7 linked regions of the Canis lupus familiaris genome follow. The protein of the gene in region 1 purifies or fractionates together with the protein of each later gene. This does not show direct contact. Links are inferred from orthologs where the notes say so. Each region holds a gene or a part of one and is shown in the gene's direction. Other genes may lie near its edges. The genes, in order: PRPF8, SNRNP70, BCAS2, SART3, HNRNPU, E2F-associated phosphoprotein and SF3A2.

Region 1 (2,934 bases):
CTGGCTAAGTGGAAGACAGCTGAGGAAGTGGCTGCCCTGATCCGATCTCTGCCTGTAGAGGAGCAGCCCAAGCAGATCATTGTTACTAGGAAGGGCATGCTGGACCCATTGGAGGTGAGAGGTGGATGAGGTAGAAGAAAGAAGGGCTGAGACCTGCAGGCTCTTTTTTAAATTTTGGACTTGATATCCTATTTCAGGTGCACTTGCTGGACTTCCCCAATATTGTGATCAAAGGATCAGAGCTCCAACTACCTTTCCAGGCTTGTCTCAAGGTGGAAAAGTTTGGAGACCTCATCCTTAAAGCCACTGAACCCCAGATGGTTCTCTTTAATCTCTATGATGACTGGCTCAAGACTATCTCATCTTACACGGTATGAAATCCCCTAACAAAGAGGGTCACTCTAAGAGAGGTGGTTTTGGGGCCACGAGACAATCCTGTGCCTTCCTTACCTTTTACTCAGGTTCCCTAATGAGGCCATTTTCACATCTTTAACCTGTGGATAACAATTCTATGCTCTGCATGTAAAGTTGACTGGGAGAGTGGTTGAAATCCATTCCTGGGTTCCCTGAAAGGAAATCAAGGAAGGACATCTAGTGGCTGACCTCCCCCCCCCCCCCCGCTGCCATACCTTTTCTCAGGCTTTCTCCCGTCTCATCCTGATTTTGCGTGCTCTTCATGTTAACAATGACCGAGCAAAGGTGATCCTGAAGCCAGACAAGACTACCATTACAGAACCACACCACATCTGGCCCACTCTGACTGACGAGGAGTGGATCAAGGTGGAGGTGCAGCTCAAAGATCTTATCTTGGCCGACTATGGCAAGAAAAACAAGTGAGCAGTGGTGGTGGGGAGACAGATGGAAAATCCTAAAAGGGTGAAATGAATCTTTTAGTATATGGTTTCTGGGGTTTTGGGAAACATGTGGGTTCAGAAATTTTTCAAGGTATTGTCCTAAAGATGCCTATAGAAAAGAGGTAGGCAGTGTCTTCAAATAATGCAGAAAATGTCTGTTTTAGGGCTTTAGTCTGATTCTAGGACATTTTCCCATGTTGCCATTTTGAGCAGGGCATTTCTTTACTGTCCATACATTACAGGAAGTTTTAATATCCCAGATCCCCAGGTACCACTGCTAATAGCACAGACACACCTCTTCTTCCCTTTCCCTGTCATTGTGGCAACCAAAAATAAAAGTGTCCATAGATTTCCAGATAACCCTAGGGTGACAGACAATATTAGCTGTAATTGAGAACGAGTTCTAAAGGTTTCTATTTTTAAGAATTGTCCTAGAAACCAGGGCACTTTTTATCAAAGAAAGGAGGAAGGTATGGCTACTGAGCAGGTTTGAGCATGGCTGAAAGCTGTACATGCACAGAGCCATCCTGGGCTGTGATAAATCTTAGCAGTATCAGTACATCTCCACCTCATACTTCTTTTACAAGTGCCACTTGAGATGTGTCTGGGGTAAGGGCATTGGGTCCCCTGTCCTACCAAGTTACATTCTGTCACTTGGACAAAATTGACCAAGGGGAGGGATCTTGTGGTATTATCCTTGCTTTCCCCACAGCGTCAATGTGGCATCACTGACACAGTCAGAAATTCGAGACATCATCTTGGGTATGGAGATCTCGGCACCATCACAGCAGCGGCAGCAGATAGCAGAGATTGAGAAGCAGACCAAGGAACAGTCACAGCTGACAGCAACGCAGACTCGCACTGTCAACAAGCATGGCGATGAGATCATTACTTCTACCACCAGCAACTATGAGACCCAGACTTTCTCGTCTAAGACTGAATGGAGGGTTAGGTACTCTAAGGAATGAGAGGGATAGGGATGGCAAAACCTATTGATGCTACCTGACATTGTAGGCCTCAGAAGTGCTGACATTCCCCACCGTTTTTAGGGCCATCTCTGCTGCCAACCTTCACCTAAGGACCAATCATATCTACGTGTCCTCTGATGACATCAAGGAGACCGGTTATACCTATATCCTTCCTAAGAATGTGCTTAAGAAGTTTATTTGCATATCTGACCTTCGGGCCCAAGTGAGTAAGTGTGTTTAATTAGGCCATAATGTGTGCCCAACATTTTATTTGCCTAAAGCTCACCTAAGATTGCCTAGAACTTGAGGTGCTGGTTTCAGGATTTATGCATGAATAAGTATATAAGAATAGCTGAAACAGCAAGAAGGATTTTGGCTCCCACCAAATATTAAAACGTTATAAAGCTGTGGCAATTAAGAAAATGGTGTATTGGCCCACAATTGATTGGAAGACGATAGCGTATAGTCAGAAACAGATTCATGTGGCTATGATAAATGTGTAACAGGTCTGTAGGATTAAGGATGTGTTAATGATACTGAAACAATCAGAACCCTACCTCACAACACTTAAAAAATAAAATGCACATAAAGATGTGCATGTAAAACAAAACACTAAGCTGTAGAGTATTAGAAGAAAATAGCTAATTACCTTAGTTTTGGGGTGGTCTTCTTAAGACACAAAACATTAAATTATAATCAATAACTTGTGTGAGACAAAGACATACTAAAAACAGTGCTCGCTTCGGCAGCACATATACTAAAATTGGAATGATCAGGAGAAGATTAGCATGGCCCCTGCGCAAGAATGACACGTAAACTTGTGAAGCGTTCCATATTAAAAAAAAAAAAAAAAAAGACATACCAAAAACAGGAAGAAAATATTTGCATAATTCTAAGATAAGATGGGTAGAACCTAGAATAGGGAATTTGCAGAAGTTCATTAAAAAAAAAAAAAAGATAGGGACACCTGGGTGGGTCAACGGTTGGGTGTCTGCCTTTGGCTCAAGGCATGATCCCAGATTCTGGGATGGAGTCCCACATCCGGCTCCTTGCATGGAGCCTACTTCTCCCTCTGCCTGGATCTCTGCCTCTCTTTCTCATGAATAAATAAA
Region 2 (3,133 bases), on another chromosome or scaffold:
AGCCTAGAAGTACACATGTCACATGATTTCTTTGTTGGTACTCCTGGGTTGGGCCTCTTCTGGGGTTTGGGACATTGAACCAGAGCAGGGTTCCTTTGCTTGACTGTGCTCCCGGTCCTTAAATCCCTTTCCCGTAATACCCTCCTCTGGGTTTGGGGGGGCCAAGTGGCCCCTCCTCCAGATCACGGGCAGCACTCCATCTCCTGGACCCCCCACCCCCAGGCTGTCCCTTATGTGCCAGCCTTTGAGTGGCAGGTGGTGGGAGGGAGTGTGGAATCCAAAGTGGAGAAGTCCTTCCATGTGCTGCGAGGAGGGTGGGGCGTGTGCCTAGTTCAGTGTGGACTTTACTGGGAAAGGTGAGGGCCAACAGTTTTGCTAAGGCCTCCCCAGCCTTCTTTTTAAATACAACAAGCTAGTTCCAGGGCATTACCAGCTCCTAGACTTGATGTTAATCCTTGTCTCCCCCTCTTTCAAGGCCTCCATGAGGTTTCTTTGGGGTCCACCACTGCCTCTGCCTGTCTCTAGGTGGTGCAGGAGATGTGGTTCCTCTCCCTCTCTGTGGCTCCCTAGAACCCCCCCATTTCCCTTCCCTGTAGCTTTAGCTGACCCTATGGTGGTGGGTGTGGGGTCTGTGCGCGTGCTCAGGTAAGCTTGGGGGCTCCAGGTAAGCGGTCCCGTGTCCCCCCCCGGGAAGCCCGCCTCCTCGCCAGGCCCCCAGGAGTTGCCGAGCCCCCCCCATCCCGCTCGGTTTGGACACCCGCAAGGCCGGCATCGGTAAATGGCACCTTTTTCTCTTCCTCTGGTTGTTATTTGGGGGGGAGAGGGCTGGGGCGGGGCAGGGTATTGTGGTTGGTTGAGGACAACCCCCTAGGCCAGGGCTGGGGGTGGGAAACGGACTTTTTTTGCCCTCCTGATGCCCCATGGGAGACAGGCCTGGGATTGGGCCTGCCCATCGCTGTGCCCTGCCCAAGAGCAGGAATATGCCTCTTCCTGAATCTCTCCCTCTACTCCTCACCCTTCCCAAGAGGCTCCGGCTGGGGTTGGCCTCCCAGCCCAGCTTGTGTTGAGCTGGGGGTGTGGAGGGAGAGATGGAATGGGGGCTGGGATTGGGTGGCAGTCAGTCGGCTCAGGTAAGGCAGGAATTGTCAGTAGCACCGCACGCCTCCCATACCTTCCTCCACTTTCCCTCTGCCCTAGCTGCTGTAGGGGGGCCCCTCCAGGCCCCCTGGGAGCACCATAACCCACCCTTCTGCTCCCTGTCATCTCCTAAAGATTTCTCCCACCCTTTTCTGGTTCATTTTCTGTTCTGATGTCTGTTCTCCCCACGCTCACCTCCGCCCCCCCCCCCCAAAAAAAAAAAAAAGCAAAAAGGAAAACCGGTGTGAACTGGGGTGCAGAGCGGCCCAGCTGGGCCTCCTCCCCCAGCATGATGTTTTAGGGTGCATGCCTGGGGTTGTGGAGGAGCCCTCCCCCACAGCAGAGTCCAGCCTTAAGTTAACCTCCAGTTTCTTTGCAGCATCTTTGGCCGCCTGGGCAGGAGGGGGCTGCTCCGTCGAATGGGAGTAGGGAAGGGCCTGGGAGCCCAGGAGAGGGTGGTTGGGTCGTCTTGCTCCCCACAACCGTCATTGGGGGATAATACACAGGTGCCGAGATGGAGCAGGCCCCTCCTGGTTTGGGAGAGGGTTGGTCTGGCTGTCAGTTTTGACTGGCTGGCTGGTGTGCGTGTGTGTGTGTGTATGCGCGCGTGCACGCACGTGTGTGTGCACAGTGTGTTGATGGGGACGTGAGGGTGGGGATGCTGCAGAGCTGGGCACTGTCCTGACTAGAGGACCCTCTGGGGACTCCTCCCCCTTCCCCCTCCCCGCATCTGTTGCAGCCGCTTACAAGCACGCAGACGGCAAGAAGATTGATGGCCGGAGAGTCCTTGTGGACGTGGAGAGGGGCCGAACTGTGAAGGGCTGGCGGCCCCGGCGGCTAGGTGAGCACTTCCTGCCCTGGCTGAGCCTTGGTGGGCCTGTACTCTCTTATGCATCCTCTGCTGCTTGCTGTCTTCCCTTCTCCTTTTTGCTTTCCTGGCCGCTCATCACGTCCTCCCTTGCTTCCTCCAGCTCCTCTTCTCTTGTCACCATCATTATCGTTCCTGGTGGCTGACTTCTCATTCTGGTTTACTGATTAGGAGTGGGAGCACTGTCTGGAGAGGCGAGTGTGGGATCAAATGTCAGCTTGTGTACTTACTAGTTGGTGGATTTCCCTGCTTCATTTTCCTTATTGTAGAAATTGGGGCTAACCTCAAGAGTTCACGGAGCTCAGCATACCAGATGCCTAGATGCCTAGCTTGGCATGTGGCATGTGACGGGGCTTGTAAATATCACTCTCTCATCTACTTATTCTTGATTCTTGCTCATTTGTTTATTCTTTGATTACCAGCTATGTACCACATTTTTAGTCAGGAGCAAGACAGATGGCCTGTGTCTCTCTCTGATTGTTACTGTGTTAAAATCAGTTTGGTTGTAAGTATTGGAAATACATTTGAGGTTTTTAAAACATAAAGGGAGCCTTATTGATAGAGAATCCTGGAGGTCCTTTGGAGGCCAGAGATGTGTGATGCCAGTGGGCCTCGAGGACCTGGTAGCTAGATTTTAAGCTTGTCAGGAGCCACCTTTGCCATTGCAGCAGCTTGCTTCCACCTTGTCTGCTGTCTGTGCAGACTGGTCTCTTCTGTGTTTCCCTGCACTGGCCCCATGAGTGCTACACCTAGTCTTGGTGAGTCTATACTTCCGGGGGGTTGGATCTGAGTGGCTCTTCATTGGGCCTGGACCTGGGGCTGCTGTCCTGCCATCTAAACATGCATGTTAAGGACCTACTCCTGCAGGGGTGAGTGACAGTTCTCTAAGAAAGATGGTCACCCTGGACTTGCCTGTGCAGCGTAGACCACACACTCACCTGCCGAGTCTTGGAACAGTAATAGGTTCTTATCGCCTTCATTTCTTGAGGGTGGAGTGAGTTTTTCATAGTCTGCTATTTTCTGTTGTAGAATCCTGGAATCGCAGAATCTTGTAGTTCATTTGGCATTCAGACTTTGGCATAGCAGTACTTACTACATCCTGACCCAGTATATATCTGTGGAAAAGTA
Region 3 (3,500 bases), on another chromosome or scaffold:
TCAGTATGAAACGGTAAGTTGTATTTCTGGTTTCCGCTGGACCCAAATCATTGCTTAATTTTAAGTTACTAGTAAAACTGCCACAGCTATTGCTCTTAAAATGTTGAAAAGAAAAAAATCTTGTCTGGCTTTATGTTTATGTTTCTTCATGTAATAGTGGTTCCTATAATCCTTTGTTAATGTTCAAATGTATTCTTTGCACCATCATTTAAAAAGGCAAAATAGGGGTGCCTGGATGGCTCAGTTGGTTAAGCATCCCACTCTTGATTTTGGCTCAGGTCATGATCTTGGGGCTGTGAGGTCAGTTCCCTGTGTAGGACTCCACACTGGGTGTGGAGCCTACTTAAGATTCTCCCTCTGCCCCTCTACCTCCACTCACATGAACCCATGCACGTGGGTGTACTCTCTTTCTTTAAAAAAAAAAACGCAAAATGTAAAATCCAACAACAGAGGAATGGTAAATTGTGTTGAAGTGCATGTTCTTAAGAATTTTCAAGGAGGAGTGCCTGGGTAGCACAGTTGGTGAGCATCCAAATCTTGGTTTCGGCTCAGGTCATGAGATCAAGTCCCGCAAAGGACTCCACACACAGCATGGAGTCGACTTGGGATTCTCTCTCCCTCTACCCCTCCACCCCTCCACCTGTGCTTGCTTGCTCCCTTTCTCTAAAATAAATATTAAAAAAAAAAAAAAAAAGACATTTTTAAGGAAATGTTCCTGATTAGATGTCTAGTTCTTCACTGATCACATCTCTGGATGAAACCACGTTATGGTTTATAATGATCCTTGCTTCACTCTTGCCAAAGCAACATTAGTGAACACGGAGTGCTCACGTAGTCTGACATTGGTTCCACTGTCTTCCGTCCTGTGCCACTTTACTACAAAACTGCTCTCTGAGGAACAAATATCCAAATATCCTTTATTTTCTCTAAAATGGAGAATTGGATTGCTTTATGACTGAGATCCTTTCAATTTTAAGATAACTATGGAATTATGAGAAGCACTAAGTAATCTGTCAGAGCAGAGTCCTTTGAGAGAGGGCCACATGCACAGCAGGTCTGTCCTCTCAGCAAATGAGTAGGTTAGAAGAGGGATTTGAGTTTGTAGAACCAGAGTACCATATTGCTTCTCTTGGGCTCCATTTCCTGTCTCGCCTAAGTGGTAAAGGCAGGAGAAGATCCAGGATTCCTTAGTTCTTCCATTTCTGGGCGCTTCTGCTCTATAGATAATCATGACAGTACCTCCTTTATGGCACTGTGTCTCAAAGCAGAAGTAATGAGTCACTAAGCAATGGATTATGAAGGAAACTTAGCAGGTTGTCACAGTACTTTTCTAAGGAAATAGAATAGAAAATACCAGAATATACTGCATGTAAAGGTGAGTACTGTTTTGTGAAACTTCTGTTGAAGTATATGTATTTTGTGTACTGGATCACAAATATTTCTTAGTGTGGGTTATAATCAGAAGTTTGAAAACTGCCACATTTATTGCATATGTGTAAAGTTTTTTGTTTTTTTAACAAAATGGTTTGTCACTTCTATTTTTTGAGAGAAAGAAGGGGCAAGAGAATTTAAGTAGGCTCCACGCTCAGTATGGAAGCTGATACAGGGTGTCAAGGAATTGATCTCACAACACTGACTTGAGCACAAATCAAGAGTTAGAATGCTTAACCCACTGAGCCACCCAAGTTACCCTGGTTTATCGCTTTTTTTTTTTTAAGATTTTATTTTCTTATTTGACAGGGTGAGAGAGCACAAGCAGTAGGAGAGGGAGAAGCAGGCTCCCAGCTGAGCAGGGACCCCAGTGTGGGGCTCTACCCCAGGACCCTGGGATTAGGACCCTTATGACCTGAGCTGTATGCAGACACTCAACCAACTGAGCCACCAGGCACCCCAGTTTATCACTTCTTGATCCCAGTTGCATACCCCTCAGTTTTTCATAGGAATAACTTGGAGTTTTTAGAATTATCTAGTCAAAATATTAAAATGGAAATTAAAACTAAGTTTGTAGTAACTCATCAGTAATGAGCTGAGATTTATGAAGAGTGTACTTACTGGCTGTTGAAGGACTGTGTAGTGTGAAGAGAGAGAGTAGAATGAAGTCCAAATGCAAAGAATTACTATATTCCTTACCGTTGTTTTGTCTAGAGTGGCCTGGGTGTATGGATGGGAAGCTGGCTGAATATAGGTGTGTTTTACAAAAATGATAGCATAGGTTTTTTTGTATCCTATAATATACTCCAGTTGATTGTGTTCACATTGAAATAAACAGTTTTTTGGTACTGTGTAGAATGACGTTAAATCTTACCTGTAGGGCAGCCCTGGTGGTGCACCGGTTTGGTGCCGCCTGCAGCCGGGGGTGTGATCCTGGAGACCCGGGATCGAGTCCCACATCAGGCTTCTTGCATGGAGCCTGCTTCTCCCTCTGCCTGTGTCTCTGCGCCTCTCTCTCTCTCTCTCTGTGTCTCTAATGAATAAATAAATAGAATCTTTAAAAAAAAAAATCTTACCTGTAATGAGTTGTTTCTTAGGAGGATAAATAGGTTCTTATTATTGCACAATCTGATCTTTAATCTTCCATGGATTTTACATTGTGCATAGACCTGTGAGACCTTCTGTTGGAAGGAAGGAAAGATTTAGGGGAATATATGGTTTCATTTTATTTTTGTTTAATTTCAGATATGAACTTCCAGCCCCTTCCTCGGGTCAGAAAAATGACATTACTGCATGGCAAGAATGTGTAAACAATTCTATGGCCCAGTTAGAGCATCAGGCAGTTCGAATTGAGAATCTGGAACTAATGTCACAGCATGGATGCAATGCCTGGAAAGTATATAATGAGTAAGAAGCTTTGGTCTTTTTTTAAATACAGGAATGGGGCTTGGGTGGCTCAGTCAGTTGAGTGTCTGACTGTTGGTTTCAGCTCAGGTCATGATCTCAGAGTCATGGGATCAAACTCCATGTCAGGCTCCATGCTCAGCAGAGTGTCTGCTTGAAGATTCTCTCTCTCTTTCCCTCTGCTCCTCCCCCTGCTCACTCTCTCCCAAATTAATAAATCTTTTTTTAAAAAACGGGAAGTGGAATAAAAATAGTATAGTGAACTTTAATGTGGGATCATGTCCTAGAACTATTAAAACCCATATGAAAAGCCATTGCTTTGAGACCCACTGCCAAGAGTATGGAGGGGACTTAAACCTAACTATATTTATTGTATGACATTGTAATTAAATGAGTTCTGAGGTCTGAGTGACAAATTACTACATGGTGTAATGTAATCCTTAACGTGGGGGATTGCTCATACATTCGATTCTCATTAATTACATGTTATGGCCACTTTATAGTGGCCTTGAATACTGAATTAGCCAATACTGTACCATTTTTCCTGGGAGAAATAATATATGTGCGTGTATATATATACATCTCATATAGACTTCAGCCTTAAATCCTAAAAACAACTCATTCGGGCAGATTCTGTTTTCTTTCATAAAAAATAAAGCAAAGTT
Region 4 (3,500 bases), on another chromosome or scaffold:
CTGTTGTTTCAGACGTCTGATAGCTTTTTAAACAGTTATTTTAACTTGTTTTAACTTTTAGTTTGAAAAGTTTCAAATCTATAAATCTGTATACCTATCACTCAGCTTCAACAGGTACTGCCATTCTTGTTTCTCCCAGTAGGGATTTTCACTTTTGTGTGTGTTTGTTTAGTAAAAGAAGAAAGCTCTTATAGAGCTGGCAGGTGCTAAAGCATGTTATTAATCACCTTTTGAAACCCTCACAAGAACCTTATGGACTAGACCCTAGTGGTATTCCCATTTTACAGATGAGGAAATAGAGGCTTGGCAAAGTTAATAACCTAAGGTCACACTGTGTGTGTGTTTGTTTCATCGGGATGTTTCCTGTATTTCAAAGAAACCTAACTACGTTCTCCTCCAGCTAGAACAGATTGGAAGAGATATGCATTTATTAGAGAAAAAGAGATTTTCTTTCTCTTCCTGGAGGTAAATGTTGTATCACTGTCTCAGTGGCTCTCCCAGATAGCACATTTGTTTGTTGCAGACATGTGCATTGTTCCCGGTGGTTAAAAGGTGCTAGGTTATTTTGATGGTGGCATTTTAAATTTCACCTGGTGTTCTTTTCCTTTTAGCTATCTATTAACGTCTATGACTACAACTGCCATGTGGATTTGATCCGGCTGCTCCGCCTGGAAGGGGAGCTTACCAAAGTGAGGATGGCTCGCCAGAAGATGAGTGAGATCTTTCCTTTGACTGAAGGTAACATATCAGCAGCGAGGCTGCTTTAATAAACAGAGAACTGAAGAGTATATATTCTGTTTTCAGAGCTGAAACTGGGACGTGTTACTTACAGAAATCTGGAACATATAAATAGAATGCAAAGAAGAAAACCCATCATCCATTGTCCATGATTTCTAGTTTTTCATCCTCTAGTTTTTTTTGCAAAACTTAGTTGTGATCATATAATCTTGATTCATATTTTGGATTCTGTTGTTGTTTTTTTTAATCCTATGTCATGATGAAAACTTTTTATGTGATTAAACTTTTCCCGTGTCTATTTTCCATTCCAGTGTTTATATATTTAATCCATTCTCTCAGCACCACATAATTGTATTATAATTAAACTGTTGTTTTCCTTTTTTTTTTTTTAAGATCTTCAGAGAGAGAGAGAGAGAGAGAGAGAGAGAACAAGCAAGGGGAGCAGCAGGCAGAGGGAGAAGGAGAGGCAGGCTGCCCACTGAGCAGGGAGCCTGACATGGGGCTCGATCCCAGGACCCTGGGATCATGACCAGAGATGAAGGCAGATGGTTAGCTAAGTCACACAGGCACCCCTAGTTAAGGTTTTATAAACAATTTTTAATGCAAATGTTTTATACCTTGTTTGTTACACAGTATTTGGGCATTTAGGTTATTTATACTTACTTGCTTATTTGAAACATAATTACACCATGCATCTTGTAGAAGAGTGTTCAGGAATGTTTATTATAATTGATCTTTTAGGGAGGCTTTGGAGAATGCTGGTCCCAGATCCAGCTCTGTCCCCCTCTCTCTGCCCAAAAGCATAACTGCTGAGTATGAAATCAGATTGCCCAGATTCATTCCTGGTTTTATTATTTTACTAGCTGTATGACCTTAAGCAAATTATGTAAACATTGTAAGACTCAGTTTTCCCAGCAGTAAAATGGGCTAACAATATCTTCTGCCTTATAGTACATGGATTGGATGAGATATCCTATGTACAACATGTAACAAATACTCTAGAATATCGTAAATGCTTTGATAAATGCCATTAGTATTCATTATTATGACTATCATCTACAGGAATTTAACAAAGATTGAATGAGAAATATATATGTGTAAGTATTTCACAAAAATAATAAAATGCCCAACAGGTGTAGGGTATTATGATTTTAGTTGTTTGATCTTATTGGAAGCATAAACCTTCTATGTGCTTGGTACAGGTTTTAAGAATTGAATTTCTGTGAACCGTAGCAAGTTGTATATGGTGGGTAAAATGCTTGTGTGCTCGTGACTCAGAGTAAAGTCCCTGCTTTCATCCTGCCCTTCGGGGAAGGAGATGGTGATGCAGGAGGTGCTGTTGTCTTGCAGAGCTCTGGCTGGAGTGGCTGCATGATGAGATCAGCATGGCTCTGGACGGCCTGGACAGAGAGCACGTGTACGAACTCTTTGAGAAAGCTGTGAAGGATTACATTTGTAAGTTCCCCATTCACTTTTTCTAAGTGTCTGTGAATGCATCCATCTCTGCTGCCCTGGGTTGTACTGTGAGGTGTGCCCCCAATTCAGAAAGGAGGGGGTTAGTCTGGCAGTTAAAAAGATTTGAGTTTACTTATTTTTCTGTGGTTTTCATTTGAGAATATTTGGTTTTAAAATACATAGAAGAAACCTTTGTAGTAAAGGAGTGAATAAATTCACACCTAGTATCTTTCTGGCGGGGAGAACTTACATAGTATTTCCAGATGACTAAAGGTTGCCTTTTACATGTTGAATGGGTTTTTAGAAGTTTTGGACAGAAAACTGTTTTTGTTTTTTGTTTGTTTGTTTGTTTTTTTGATATTAAAAAGTTATTAAAACCTTTTTATTTTAAAATAATTACAGATTTACGGGAAAATAGTGCAGAAAGGTTCTATACTTACTTCATCCTGCTTTTCCCAATATCTTGTAACTATTGCACAAAATCAAAACCAGGGAATTAATCTTAGTGTACAATGTGTGTATCTACCTCTGAGATTTTATCAAACATGGAGATTCTAGTAACCACCACTGTAGTTGAGATACATAACCCTCTATCCCCACAGATGTCTGTGTTGTCTGCTTGAGTTGATGTTTTGCTAGCACAGGTGGAGGGTAGACCCCTCTCCCTTTAAGTTTCTTTACCCTCCCCTGTTGGTAGCATGATTCTCTATTCTCTCTCTCTCTCTCTCTTTTTTTTTTTTTAAGATTTTATTTATTTGTGAGTGACAGAGGAGAGAGAGGCAGAGACATTGAGGGAGAAGCAAGCTACCTGCAAGGATCCTGATGTGGGACTCGATCCTGCATCCTGGGATCACACCCTGGGCCAAAGGCAGATGCTCAGCTGCTGAGCCACCCAGGCGTCCCCGGTTCTTTATTCTCTGTATGTACATTTAGGACACATCAGAGAATGCTGTGGGCAAAATGTTTTTTAAAAATATTTTTTAAAAAGCACTCCTTTTATTTATTTATTTTTTAAAGGTTTTATTTATTTGAGAGGGTGTGCATGCAAGCTGGGGGAGTTGGGAGGGGAAGAGCAGAGGGAGAGGGACAAGTAAACTCCATGCTGAGCACGGAGCCCAATCCTGAGATCATGACCTGAGCTGAAATCAAGAGTCAGATGCCCAACCAACTGAGCCACCCAGGCGCCCCCCCCGCCAATGTTTTCTCCTTTTAAATTAAACATCCTTCTTCCATATCTGGTTCTCCCCACTCCCCACTGGGGGAATTTCACCTTGTGAGAATCCCTGGAACTTGGAAGATAGACTGCC
Region 5 (4,027 bases), on another chromosome or scaffold:
GAGTGGTAAAACACATGGTTCTTGGAAGCTATGGAGAAGAAACTTGAAAAAATAAAATGCATTCAACGGTTAAATCATACTGGCCTCTGCTAGTATTGCTCCAGTTTCAAGTTAACATTCGGGGCAGCACTACTCCAGCTCCAGCACCACACAGTGGGTAGGACTGAGCTCTCTGATAGTGGGACGTTGTCTAGTCACTGTGCAGGCTTTCTTGGGGGTGTCGCATGCGCCCCTCTATCACGTATCTAAGTGCTGGCCCCCTGTGCGCAACCTCAAGAACCTAACATGCCTTTTATTTGGGAAAAGGGAAAAATCAAACTTCTAAAACACACCCAAATACACAACAGATTTCGGGAGCCGATTGTCTCTTTTTTCTTTCTTAGAAAATCCCGGCCCTTTGACTCGTCCTGAGCTCTTACTGGCTTCAGCACGACTTATGGGGGGTGTTCCTGCGGGGGGGGGGGGGGGGAGAGGCGGCGGAGGGCACGATCCGGGGGCGTGAGCTCGCGGGGGGCCGTCTGGGCGGGCGGACGTGCCCCTCCGAGGCTCGCCCCGCTCTCCCGCCCCGGGGCGGCCGGACCAGCCCTGCCATCCGGGCTGGGGAAGAGACAAAAGGGATGCTCTGTCCTCGCCCTTCCCGAGCCTAAAATCCAGGGCGCAGGGCAGGGCCTGGGAACATTCCACCAAATGCGAGACGGAAGGCACCCCCCGCGGGCAGGGCCTGCCCGTCCGTGCCGTACACATCAACACGGAAATAAGATTTCGAGGCGTTTTAAGCAGCGGGCTGGCGAGCGAGAGAAAGAGGCAGGCCCATCCAAGATGGAAGCAAGGCCGAGGGCTCGGGCGGAAGCCGCCGGGCCGGGGCCGGGGCCGGGGCCGGGGCCGCCGGGCTCTGGGTGCAGCAGCCCCGCGCCCGGGGGCCGAGAGCGAGGCGAGGGCCGCCAGCACCCAGCTCGGGAGGCCGCCCGGCTGCGGCGGATCGCTGTAACCGAAAGGCGGCCCCCCTCCTCCCCCAGCTCGGCCCCGCGGGAAGCGCACTGCGCGGCCGGCGCCGCGCTCTCGGCGGGTTGGGCGTGGGGGCGGGGAGGGCAGGGCGGGCGGGCGGGCGGGGGCGGGGGCGGGGCGCGGGGGCGGGGCCCCGCGGCGCGGGCGCGCTCCCCCCCGCAGCGGAGCTCCCGTCAGCGCAGGGGGCGGGGCGCCTATATTACGTGCGCGGCGCCGCCCCTGCGAGAGGACGTTGCGTGCTCGCTCGCGCCAGGCGAGTCTCCGCGTCTCCCTCGCGAACTCGGTGAAAGGAATTGGCGCCGTTCGACACCAGGCGGGTCCGCTCTGCAGCACGAACCCACCTCTAGCCGCAGCCGCAGCCGCCGCCCGGGCCGAGGAGCAGCCGCAGCAGCCGCCACCAGTGGCCGAGGGAGCGGAGCCGAGTTTGAGCCAGCGCCTAGCGGTGAATCGGGGCCCTCACCATGAGTTCCTCGCCTGTTAATGTAAAAAAGCTGAAGGTCTCGGAGCTGAAAGAGGAGCTCAAGAAGCGGCGCCTTTCCGACAAGGGCCTCAAGGCCGAGCTCATGGAGCGCCTCCAGGCCGCGCTGGACGACGAGGAGGCCGGGGGCCGCCCCGCCATGGAGCCCGGGAACGGCAGCCTAGACCTGGGCGGGGATTCCGCCGGGCGCTCGGGAGCAGGCCTCGAGCAGGAGGCCGCGGCCGGCGGCGACGAGGAGGAGGAGGAGGAGGAAGAGGAGGAGGAAGGGATCGCCGCCCTGGATGGCGACCAGATGGAGCTAGGAGAGGAGAACGGGGCCGCGGGGGCGGCCGACGCGGGCCCGATGGAGGAGGAGGAGGCCGCCTCGGAGGACGAGAACGGCGACGATCAGGGCTTCCAGGAAGGGGAGGATGAGCTCGGCGACGAGGAGGAAGGCGCGGGCGACGAGAACGGGCACGGGGAGCAGCAGCCTCAACCGCCGGCGACGCCGCAACAGCAGCCGCCACAGCAGCGCGGGGCCGCCAAGGAGGCCGCGGGGAAGAGCAGCGGCCCCACCTCGCTGTTCGCGGTGACGGTGGCGCCGCCCGGGGCGAGGCAGGGCCAGCAGCAGGCGGGAGGTAAGAAGAAGGCGGAAGGCGGCGGAGGCGGCGGTCGCCCCGGGGCTCCGGCGGCGGGTGAGTGCTGCGTTGTACGTTGCGCGCGGCGGGAGGCCCGCGCGGGGTGGGGACCGTGCCCCAGGCCTGCCGGAGCCCCGCGGGGGGGAGGGGGCGGGGGCCGCCGCGGGGGAGGCGGGGGGGAGGGGGCGCGGGGAATCCCGCCCGGCCGCGAGGCCTCGGCGGCCTCGGGCTCGGCGTGTGCGACGGCGGCGGCGCCTCCATTATGTGGCTGGAGGGCCGGGGGGTGGGGGTGGTAGCTGCAGCTGCCGCTGGAGGGGGAGGAGCCGCGGGCGGCGGGCGGGAGCCCGGTCGGCCCGCGGTGGCGCCGCTGCGCTGCGTGCGCGCGGTGCGGGCACATGTCTCGGGGGGGGGAGGGGAGAAGAGAGGCCCGAGGGCCCGGGGCGGGCGCGCTTTGGCGGCGCTGGGCCGCGGTATTGTGCAAGGAGCGCAGGGGCTCGGCGTGACGTCACTTCCGGCGGGAGGGGCCGGGCGGGGAGAGCGGGGCGGAAGATCAGTACAATGCGGCCGCGGGGAACGCGGGCCCGGGTGGGGGAGGGGAGGAGGGGAGGGGCGGGCGCGCGGGCCGGCGCGGCCCCTCCCCCCTTCCTGAACTCTCTCCGGGATCCACGTGGGCTCGGGGCCGGGGCCGCCCTGGGCTCCGGGAGCTTTCTCGAATCTTCGAAGAGGCTGGCAAAATTAGGAATGTCTTTAGACTGCGTCACTAGCTCCTGGCCGGTTCCAAGCTGATTGTTCTTTGAATTCGCGTTGGATTCGTCGGTTGAAATCGCTTGCAGAAAAGAACGGGGGAGTTAGGAGTATTTGCGTTCCCCAAACAGGAGGGGGGATTTTTTTTTCTTTTTCCCCGGTTGCGTCGCGGCTTGGCCCCTTATGTTAGGGGTGTTGTGTGTTATAGGAGACGGCAAAACAGAGCAGAAGGGCGGAGATAAAAAGAGAGGGGTGAAAAGACCTCGAGAAGATCATGGCCGTGGATATTTTGAGTACATTGAAGAGAACAAGTATAGCAGGTAGAGGATGCCGATCTAGTTTTACCCGTCCCCGTTCTTTCTGGGGTAGGAAAAGCTGAATCAGGAGACAATTCTGTCTTTCAGAGCCAAATCTCCTCAGCCACCTGTTGAAGAAGAAGATGAGCACTTCGATGACACAGTGGTTTGTCTTGATACTTGTAAGTGAAGCTGTTTCTTCCCTTTTCTCCCCCGGTTACTAAATGTGGCGATTTTGGTGCCAAAATGTTAGAGAACTTAAACGCAGTGTGCTGAATTTAAATGCAGAATACTTAGCGTAAACCGTTTACCTTTTTTAAAGGAGGGAGACGAAAGGTTTTATTCAGATTCTGGTAGCTAAATGTCTAATACAGCATCAATTGTGTCGTATTGATAATTTTATAGGCTCCAGCAATTTGGTGTTATTTTTTATATGATTAGAAAGTTCTCATTTATAGGAATGTAAAATTAATGGCAATTTTTGGTTTAGTTAGCTAATGGAAACTTGTAAGACAACCTGTAACTTGTCCTTTTAGGCTCCTACGATAAAGTAATTTAATTTTTTTGGTAGCATTTTATTAAGTGAGCTATTTGGGCTAGTTAAATACGTATTAATGATTTTTTCCCATTAGCACACAAGTATATTCCCTATTCTAAAAGATTGTAATATTACTTTTTCAATAACTGCTCTTTTGTTCTCAATTCCAGTTCAGTAGCTGCTGCTTTAACATAAGTTGATTTCTTCCAAAGACCTGGGGCAGCAGCAGTGGGCTATCACTGGGCTACTAGCTTTCTTCAGCAGCGAATGGTATCAATGGCAGCGCTGTAAATACTGCTACTTTACCCAGTTGGGTTGCAATTGAGTATGAGGAAGTATTGCAAACCTC
Region 6 (3,500 bases), on another chromosome or scaffold:
CCTTGATCATCTTAGCAAGGAATTGTCAGGTTTCTCTACTGTAAAGTTACTCTCCGCCCCTCCTGTCTATACTGTACTCTTTGGAAGGAAGTCATTATGTGCATTATGCTCCACTTCCTTGAGAGGAGAGTATCTTCATAAGTTATTCTTCCATCTGGGACATTTGTCTGTTCTCCCTCCCTCCGTTCTTCCCTCATTCATTTATTCAGTCATTAGTCATTTGTATCAGTATGGACTTGTGAGTATTTATTTATATTTTGTATCCAATACTGCTTTATTTTATTGTTCTAATTGTTTCAGCTTTGGCCAACTCTAATTCTTTGAGTTGGCTTCTGTGCCCCTTGATATATCTACCTCCTTGTTTTTGAGCACTTCCTTACTTCCTGGCACTACAAGATGCTCCAGGTTCATTTCATATGCCTCATTCCTAGAATCAGTCATTTCTCTTAGGAGTACTAGGTTCTTTTACTGGAGGGTGGCATTAGAAATCAGGGTCTCGGGGATGCTTGGCTAGCTCAGTTGGTAGAGCCTCCCTCCCTCCTTCCCTCCCTCTGAGAGGGTGGGGAGGGGTAGAGGGGGAGAGAGAATCTTAAGCAGGTTCCATGCCGAGTGGAGCCTGACTTGGGGCTTGATCTCACAACACTGAGATCATGACCTGAGCTAGAATCAAGAGTTCAATGCTTACCTGACTGAGCCACTCAGGTGCCCCAGAGCATGTGACTCTTAATCTTGGGGTCTTGAGTTCAAGCCCCATTTTAGGTGTGAAGCCTACTTAAAAAAAGAAAATCAAGATCTGGCTTTAAAGTGTGTGTCTACCCCCCCCCCCCCCCCCCCCACATTTTCTTTTTTTATTCCAGCTACCATGGTTTTGGAATACAGAGACCATATCAACAACAGCAGCCTGTTCCAAATAGTGATGCTGTCTTGAATTGCCCTGCCTGCATGACCACACTATGTCTTGATTGCCAAAGGTAATGGATAAAGGGTGTCATAGCACACCACAAACACACATACACACACATGCATACACAAAATGATGAAAAACAACTTGGTTTTTTGTTTAAATCAGAAATAGACTTTTGAGGTATATACTTAGGAATTCTGATAAAGTTCTGTCCTCCTGTGTCCTTGCTGCTACATAACTAATCTTTATACAAATAATTTTAGTTATACATAGTTCTTTTTTTTTTTTTTTTTTAGTTATACATAGTTCTAAGTAGTTTTTCCTTTTTCTTTTTCTTTTCATTTTTTTTTTTTTTTTTTTTTTAAAGATTTTATTTATTTGCTCATGAGAGTCACAGAGAGGCAGAGACACAGGCAGAGGGAGAAGCAGGCTCCATGCAGAGAGCCCGATGTGGGACCAGATCCTGGAACTCCGGGATCAGGACCTGAGCCGAAGGCAGACGCTCAACTACTGAGCCACCCAGGCATCTCATAAGTAGTTTTTCTAATAAAGCACATACTTAAAAGGATTCAGTGAAACTGCATATATATTGTGGAATGATGTAATCTGTCAAATACATTCTTTTTTAAAAAATTGTGATAAAACATAAAATTTACTGTTTTAACCATTGAAAACTTTTTATTAAAGAGTACATCATTTGGGTATTAAATTTATTGTCAACTAGACCATTTAAAAATTTAAAATCATTTCCTAGCTTTATCGAGATATAATTGACACATAACATTATGTAAGTTTGAAGTGTACAACATGATGATTTGATATACAAATATATTGCTAAATGATTACATAAGGTTAATGCATCCATCACCTCATGTATTTTCCTTTTTTTGTTTGTTGAGAACTCTTAAAATTAGTTTTTTTTAGCAACTTCAAGTATATAGTACAAGATTGTTAACTGTAGACATTGTGTTTATTACATCCTCAGACCTTCATCTTATAATTGGAAGTTTGTACCACTTGACAGTCTTCACTTGTCCACCCTTCCCCCACTAACCACCAGTCTACTTTGTTTCTTACTGTTCATTTTTTTTTTTGGATTTATATACAAGTGAGATCATTCAGTAATTTTTTGTCTATGACTTCATTTAGCTTAGTGCCCTCGAGGTTCATTCATGTTTTCACAAATGACAGGATTTTCTTTCTTTTTTTTTGTATTCCATTGTATCTATACACCATGTTTTCTTTATCCATTCACGTAGCATGTACACTTAGTTTCCATGTTTGGCTATTATGAATAAAGCTGCAGTAGGTTTTTGGGGAGAAGACCACAGAGGTAAAGTGTTGTTTTCATTACATTGTATCAAGGGCATGGACTATCAACAACAACAAAAATCAACAGATTTAAAAAATTAAAAAAAAAAAAAAAAAAAAAAAAAAAAAAAGGGATCCCTGGGTGGCGCAGCGGTTTGGCGCCTGCCTTTGGCCCAGGGCGCGATCCTGGAGACCCAGGATCGAATCCCACATCAGGCTCCCAGTGCATGGAGCCTGCTTCTCCCTCTGCCTGTGTCTCTGCCTCTCTCTCTCTCTCTCTGTGACTATCATAAATAAATAAAAATTAAAAAAAAAAAAAAAAAAAAAAACAGATTTATTAACTGTTAATGTTGACCTTGATCACCTGGCTGATGTCGTGGTGCAGATATTTCTTCGAGAGAGTGATTTCATTTCCTTCAGTTATATACCCAGAAGTGGGATTGCTGAATCATATGGTAGTTCTATTTTTAATATTTTGAGGCGCCTCCATACTGTTTTCCATAGTCACTATACCAATTTACATTCCCACCAGTAATGTGCAAGTGTTCACTTTTGTTTTGTCTTTTTGGTAGCCATTCTAACAGGTGTGAGGTAATACCTCACTACAGTTTTTATTTACGTTTCCCTGATGATTAAGGATGATGAACACCTTTTCATGTACCTGCTGGCCATTTGCATATCTTTTTTGGAAAAATGTCTGTTCAGGTTCTTTGCCTTTGCCTTTTTTTTTTCTTTGCTATTGAGTTGTATGAGTTTCTTGGATATTAGCCCCTTGTTAAATACATGATTTGCAAATATTTTCTTCCATTCCGTAGGTTTCTATTTCCTTTTGTTGATGGTTTCTTTGCTATGCTGAAGCTTTTTAGCTTGTTGGTTTTTTTTCTATTTCTGTGAAAAATGCCATTGGAATTTTGATAAAATTGCATTGACAATAGATGACTTTGGATAGTATGGACTTTTTTTCTTTTTTAAGATTTTATTTATTCATGGGAGAGAGAGGCAGAGACATAGAGGGAGAAGCAGGTTCCCTGTAGGGAGCCTGTTGCAGGACTCGATCCCAGGACCCTGGGATCACTTGTGAGCCCTTAGCCGAAGGCAGACACTCAACTGCTGAGCCATCCAGGTGTCTCACTATGGACTAATTGACTATTTATTTTTTAAAAGATTTTATTTATTTATTCTTGAGAGACACAGAGAGAAGCAGAGACATAGACAGAGGGAGAATCAGGTTCCTCACAGGGAGCCCAGTGTGGGGCTCGATCCCCACACCGGGATCATGCCCTGA
Region 7 (3,500 bases), on another chromosome or scaffold:
CCAAAGTGGGACAGCTGCCCCTCTCTGCCAGCAAGTGGTGGTCTGTGCCTCTTGGACAAAGACAAGGCTTTCGCCCCTCCTGGAGCAGGTGGGGACCACGGGGCGCGATGGGTGCTAACAGAGTGTGCTTCCCTCCCCAGGACCCTTACTTCATGAAGAACCACCTGGGTTCATATGAGTGCAAGCTGTGCCTGACCCTGCACAACAACGAGGTGCGTCCCTAGTTCCGGGCTGGGCTCTCCTGCCGCCAGGTCCAGGTGCCGCCTGTCCCGCTCAGGCGGGACTCTGTGCCCGTCCGCATCCTGGTCGTGCTCTCCCTGCTAATTCTGGGACGTTGTTCAGGGCAACAACGAGGGCAACAGGCCCGGATCTGCTCGCTCACCTGAGTGCCCCCCATCTCAGCCTGCGCCCCCAGAGCCCGCTGCCGCTGTGGTGCGCCAGGGGCCCCTCCGGCGTGCTTCCCCTGAGCGTCGTCACTGCCGTTCCTGCACGAACTAGACTTGCAGCTGTGGGGCAGGCCCGTCCCAGACATTCTGGATTCAGTTTTTGAGATCTCATTAGTGTGGCTCTAGCTCATTTCTTTGAACGACCGTACATTGTCCCACGATGGTATAACTAGCGCTCAGGCTGCCCTGACCCACTCAGTGACAAATAGATTCCGTTTGGTCTTCTGCACACTGTGGAATGTTCTGATGGTCTTTCAGCGCGTGTACAAGTGGTGCTGACTCAGCCAGTCTTGCGTGTCAGGGTCTGTCCCCCTCAGCACTGCTGACGTCAGAGCCGGGTCATTCTCTGGGGGGTGCTGAGCAGCATCCCTCATCTTGACGACCACAGACATCCCCAAACGTGGCCCAGCGTCCCCCTGGTGGTCCCAAAACACATGGGGTTCACCTTGCTCTCTAGAGGTCCCCTAGGCTGCGGTCAGCATGGACGCGCAGGGTCACAGGGTGTGTGCACCGTTGGGTTTGCCAGCGGTTGCCAAGTAGTCTGCACCATCCAGCCAGGTCCAGTAGGCGCCCTCCCATGACAGGCGGCGAGACCTGCCGTGTCCCACACCCCGTGATTGCGGACCTTCGCAGACCTACTCTGTCCCACTCTGCATGTGTCTCATTGCACTTCATGTGGACCTGCTAGAGTTTGTTGATTCCGCGGTGACCCGGTGTCCGCTTCGCGCTGGGCCCTGTGAACACAGGCCGGCTCCTCTCTGCCCACCCGTTCACTTGGGCTGTGTGTGTGCTTTTCCCGCTCCAGGGCAGTTACCTTGCGCATACCCAAGGGAAGAAGCATCAGACCAACTTGTGAGTACCCCCGCCTCCTTCCAGGGCCGTGTCTGGTCTCCGAGGTACACAAAGCGCACTTGGGTCTGTCCTTGCGAGCCACGCTAGAAGCAGCCCAGCCCAGCCGTGCCTCGGGGCTGAGTGGTTAAGCTAACCGGTCTTGCTGGGGTGTGAGGCTTCCGTGACACAGTGGGAAAGAGATGAGGGCTCACGGAGACTCCCTAGTAAAGGACGGTGGGAAACGTGATGAGAAGGGACAGGTGCCCCGACCTTGTCCCATCCCCACTTCAGGCAAACCCTGGGACCCCCAGCCAGCACCCCCACGCCACTCGCCTCCCAGACAAAGCCCAAGGTCAATGTGGAGGCTGGTTAGCTCCCAGCACCTGGGCCTGTGGCCTTGGCAGCCTGTGTGGAGGGGCCACAGCGCTTGTGTCCGTCCCGCCTGCAGGGCCCGGCGAGCTGCCAAGGAGGCCAAGGAGGCCCCCGCCCAGCCGGCACCAGAAAAGGTCAAGGTGGAGGTGAAGAAGTTTGTGAAGATTGGCCGCCCGGGCTACAAAGGTAACTCTGGGAGTGTGGTCTGGCCTGCTGCTGGTGGTGCACGCGAACGAGCCTTTGGCACAGACCCCCGACCCTGTCCGTGAGCCACCGGGACTGCTGTCCGTTGGCCGTCGCAGCAGGGGCCCTCCCTCACCTGCACCGCTACGGGCACCCCGCTAGTGCCCCGGCCCCGCCTCTCCTGTGAACATTCCCAAACAACCCATCAGGGTGCCGTGGCTCCCCTGCGCCGTATTCCAGTGTCTCGGGAGCTGGGGATTCTTTACAGTCCTAGTGAGGGTGTGTGGCCATGGGGGTCAGCGATTCCCTTTCTTTTGACCTCGGGGTGGGGTGGGGCAGGGGGTCCGTGTAAGAAACCGCATGTAGGGGACTGTGTTCCTGGGAGCTAAAAGGAAAGGAAAAACTACCAGGCAGGTATCCTAACCAAGGGTAGGGACGCCGCGAGGGTGACGGGCGTTCCAGGCAGGACGGAGCCGTGCAGCTGTGCTTCATAAGCTAGGGCTCGGATGCCAGGATCCTTGTGGGGAGGCCACTAGAGGCCTTTTGGCCATAATAGGGCACCTGGTGTCTGTCCTGATTAAAGTAGGGGGACGCTTGAGGGCTGAAGGAGGGTGTGGCGTGCCTGGGAGCTGGACGGAGAGCAGCCTGGAAGTGTGGGCACGGCCACTGGCCTCTGATGAAGAGGGCCGCCTCCCAGAAGCCGGGTACGGGCATCGCTAGCCTTACTGCACCCACATCGTGCTGTCCCAGCCCTGCAGGTGAGGGCCGCAGAGCCCACTCTCCTGCCCACACCCCTCCCTGTGTGATCTCACGCGGGGACCCTCCTGGCCCTGGGCGTGGACTGCAGGTAGCTCTGGTGTATCAGCCAGCTGGTGTCCTCTAGTGTCCTGCCCTCCCGTTCGTGGGCAGCAGCCACGGTCCTTTATCTTCGGGGGGACACGCTAGTCGGGACTTGAGACCCTTGTGTGTTGCAGTGACCAAGCAGAGGGACACGGAGATGGGCCAGCAGAGCCTCCTTTTCCAGGTAAGGTTAAACCTGGAGTCCCATCCTGAGTGAGGGAGGGTCCCTTGAAAGGCGGCGTTGCCACCTGCTGTGTCCCCACAGATCGACTACCCTGAGATCGCCGAGGGCATCATGCCCCGCCACCGCTTCATGTCCGCCTACGAGCAGAGGATCGAGCCTCCGGACCGGCGCTGGCAGTACCTGCTGATGGCTGCTGAGCCCTACGAGACCATCGCCTTCAAGGTAGTGCAGGCGGGGTCCACCGATCCTCGTGGGCAGGCAACGAGGCTGGAGTGTCCCTCCAGCCACTCACGGGTGCCCCACCTGGGTCCTTGGCTCTGGCAGGCTGGGGAGGGACATCCTGAGGTCCCAGGTGCCCCTAGCCGTAAGAAGCCCTCGTTCCCAGGCTGGTCAGGGACCCCATGACCTCGTCCTGGGCCCAGACAGACCACGACCCTCCCCCGGGGTGGCCGGCTGGCGACGTGGGCCAGGTCAGGTACCCAGAGCCGAATCCTGAGGCCCCTCTGCCTCCACTCCCTGCACAGGTGCCAAGCAGGGAGATCGATAAGGCCGAAGGCAAGTTCTGGACTCACTGGAATCGGGAAACCAAGCAGGTAAGTCATTCTGGGTCCGGGCAGTTCTGGGGCTTTCGGTGGCTGCCCTGC

The links.
Region 2: the proteins of PRPF8 (region 1) and SNRNP70 fractionate together in Homo sapiens (co-fractionation; 3 studies listed by BioGRID, with this or other methods). This does not show direct contact. The link is inferred for Canis lupus familiaris from reciprocal best matches to the Homo sapiens genes PRPF8 and SNRNP70.
Region 3: the proteins of PRPF8 (region 1) and BCAS2 purify together in Homo sapiens (affinity purification with mass spectrometry; 3 studies listed by BioGRID and IntAct, with this or other methods). This does not show direct contact. The link is inferred for Canis lupus familiaris from reciprocal best matches to the Homo sapiens genes PRPF8 and BCAS2.
Region 4: the proteins of PRPF8 (region 1) and SART3 purify together in Homo sapiens (affinity purification with mass spectrometry; 4 studies listed by BioGRID, with this or other methods). This does not show direct contact. The link is inferred for Canis lupus familiaris from reciprocal best matches to the Homo sapiens genes PRPF8 and SART3.
Region 5: the proteins of PRPF8 (region 1) and HNRNPU fractionate together in Homo sapiens (co-fractionation; 3 studies listed by BioGRID, with this or other methods). This does not show direct contact. The link is inferred for Canis lupus familiaris from reciprocal best matches to the Homo sapiens genes PRPF8 and HNRNPU.
Region 6: the proteins of PRPF8 (region 1) and E2F-associated phosphoprotein purify together in Homo sapiens (affinity purification with mass spectrometry; 4 studies listed by BioGRID and IntAct, counting the BioPlex papers as one, with this or other methods). This does not show direct contact. The link is inferred for Canis lupus familiaris from reciprocal best matches to the Homo sapiens genes PRPF8 and EAPP.
Region 7: the proteins of PRPF8 (region 1) and SF3A2 purify together in Homo sapiens (affinity purification with mass spectrometry; 3 studies listed by BioGRID and IntAct, with this or other methods). This does not show direct contact. The link is inferred for Canis lupus familiaris from reciprocal best matches to the Homo sapiens genes PRPF8 and SF3A2.

The regions. Positions count from the first base shown.
Region 1 is NC_049230.1:45,746,488-45,749,421, reverse strand, and holds part of PRPF8 (pre-mRNA-processing-splicing factor 8), read left to right. Parts: coding exon 1-114; intron 115-197; coding exon 198-371; intron 372-639; coding exon 640-833; intron 834-1,566; coding exon 1,567-1,806; intron 1,807-1,903; coding exon 1,904-2,045; intron 2,046-2,555; exon of another isoform or gene 2,556-2,662; intron 2,663-2,934. UniProt on the Homo sapiens protein: Plays a role in pre-mRNA splicing as core component of precatalytic, catalytic and postcatalytic spliceosomal complexes, both of the predominant U2-type spliceosome and the minor U12-type spliceosome.
Region 2 is NC_049222.1:108,017,718-108,020,850, reverse strand, and holds part of SNRNP70 (U1 small nuclear ribonucleoprotein 70 kDa), read left to right. Parts: intron 1-1,876; coding exon 1,877-1,978; intron 1,979-3,133. UniProt on the Homo sapiens protein: Component of the spliceosomal U1 snRNP, which is essential for recognition of the pre-mRNA 5' splice-site and the subsequent assembly of the spliceosome. SNRNP70 binds to the loop I region of U1-snRNA.
Region 3 is NC_049238.1:52,811,323-52,814,822, reverse strand, and holds part of BCAS2 (pre-mRNA-splicing factor SPF27), read left to right. Parts: coding exon 1-13; intron 14-2,676; coding exon 2,677-2,838; intron 2,839-3,500. UniProt on the Homo sapiens protein: Required for pre-mRNA splicing as component of the activated spliceosome. Component of the PRP19-CDC5L complex that forms an integral part of the spliceosome and is required for activating pre-mRNA splicing.
Region 4 is NC_049247.1:18,673,732-18,677,231, forward strand, and holds part of SART3 (squamous cell carcinoma antigen recognized by T-cells 3), read left to right. Parts: intron 1-611; coding exon 612-738; intron 739-2,088; coding exon 2,089-2,193; intron 2,194-3,500. UniProt on the Homo sapiens protein: U6 snRNP-binding protein that functions as a recycling factor of the splicing machinery. Promotes the initial reassembly of U4 and U6 snRNPs following their ejection from the spliceosome during its maturation.
Region 5 is NC_049228.1:35,785,603-35,789,629, reverse strand, and holds the start of HNRNPU (heterogeneous nuclear ribonucleoprotein U), read left to right. Parts: upstream 1-1,227; 5' UTR 1,228-1,466; coding exon 1,467-2,157; intron 2,158-3,052; coding exon 3,053-3,164; intron 3,165-3,248; coding exon 3,249-3,322; intron 3,323-4,027. UniProt on the Homo sapiens protein: DNA- and RNA-binding protein involved in several cellular processes such as nuclear chromatin organization, telomere-length regulation, transcription, mRNA alternative splicing and stability, Xist-mediated transcriptional silencing and mitotic cell progression.
Region 6 is NC_049229.1:13,544,231-13,547,730, reverse strand, and holds part of E2F-associated phosphoprotein, read left to right. Parts: intron 1-857; coding exon 858-971; intron 972-3,500. UniProt on the Homo sapiens protein: May play an important role in the fine-tuning of both major E2F1 activities, the regulation of the cell-cycle and the induction of apoptosis. Promotes S-phase entry, and inhibits p14(ARP) expression.
Region 7 is NC_049241.1:57,260,975-57,264,474, reverse strand, and holds part of SF3A2 (splicing factor 3A subunit 2), read left to right. Parts: intron 1-140; coding exon 141-212; intron 213-1,251; coding exon 1,252-1,298; intron 1,299-1,725; coding exon 1,726-1,835; intron 1,836-2,806; coding exon 2,807-2,856; intron 2,857-2,937; coding exon 2,938-3,078; intron 3,079-3,380; coding exon 3,381-3,449; intron 3,450-3,500. UniProt on the Homo sapiens protein: Component of the 17S U2 SnRNP complex of the spliceosome, a large ribonucleoprotein complex that removes introns from transcribed pre-mRNAs.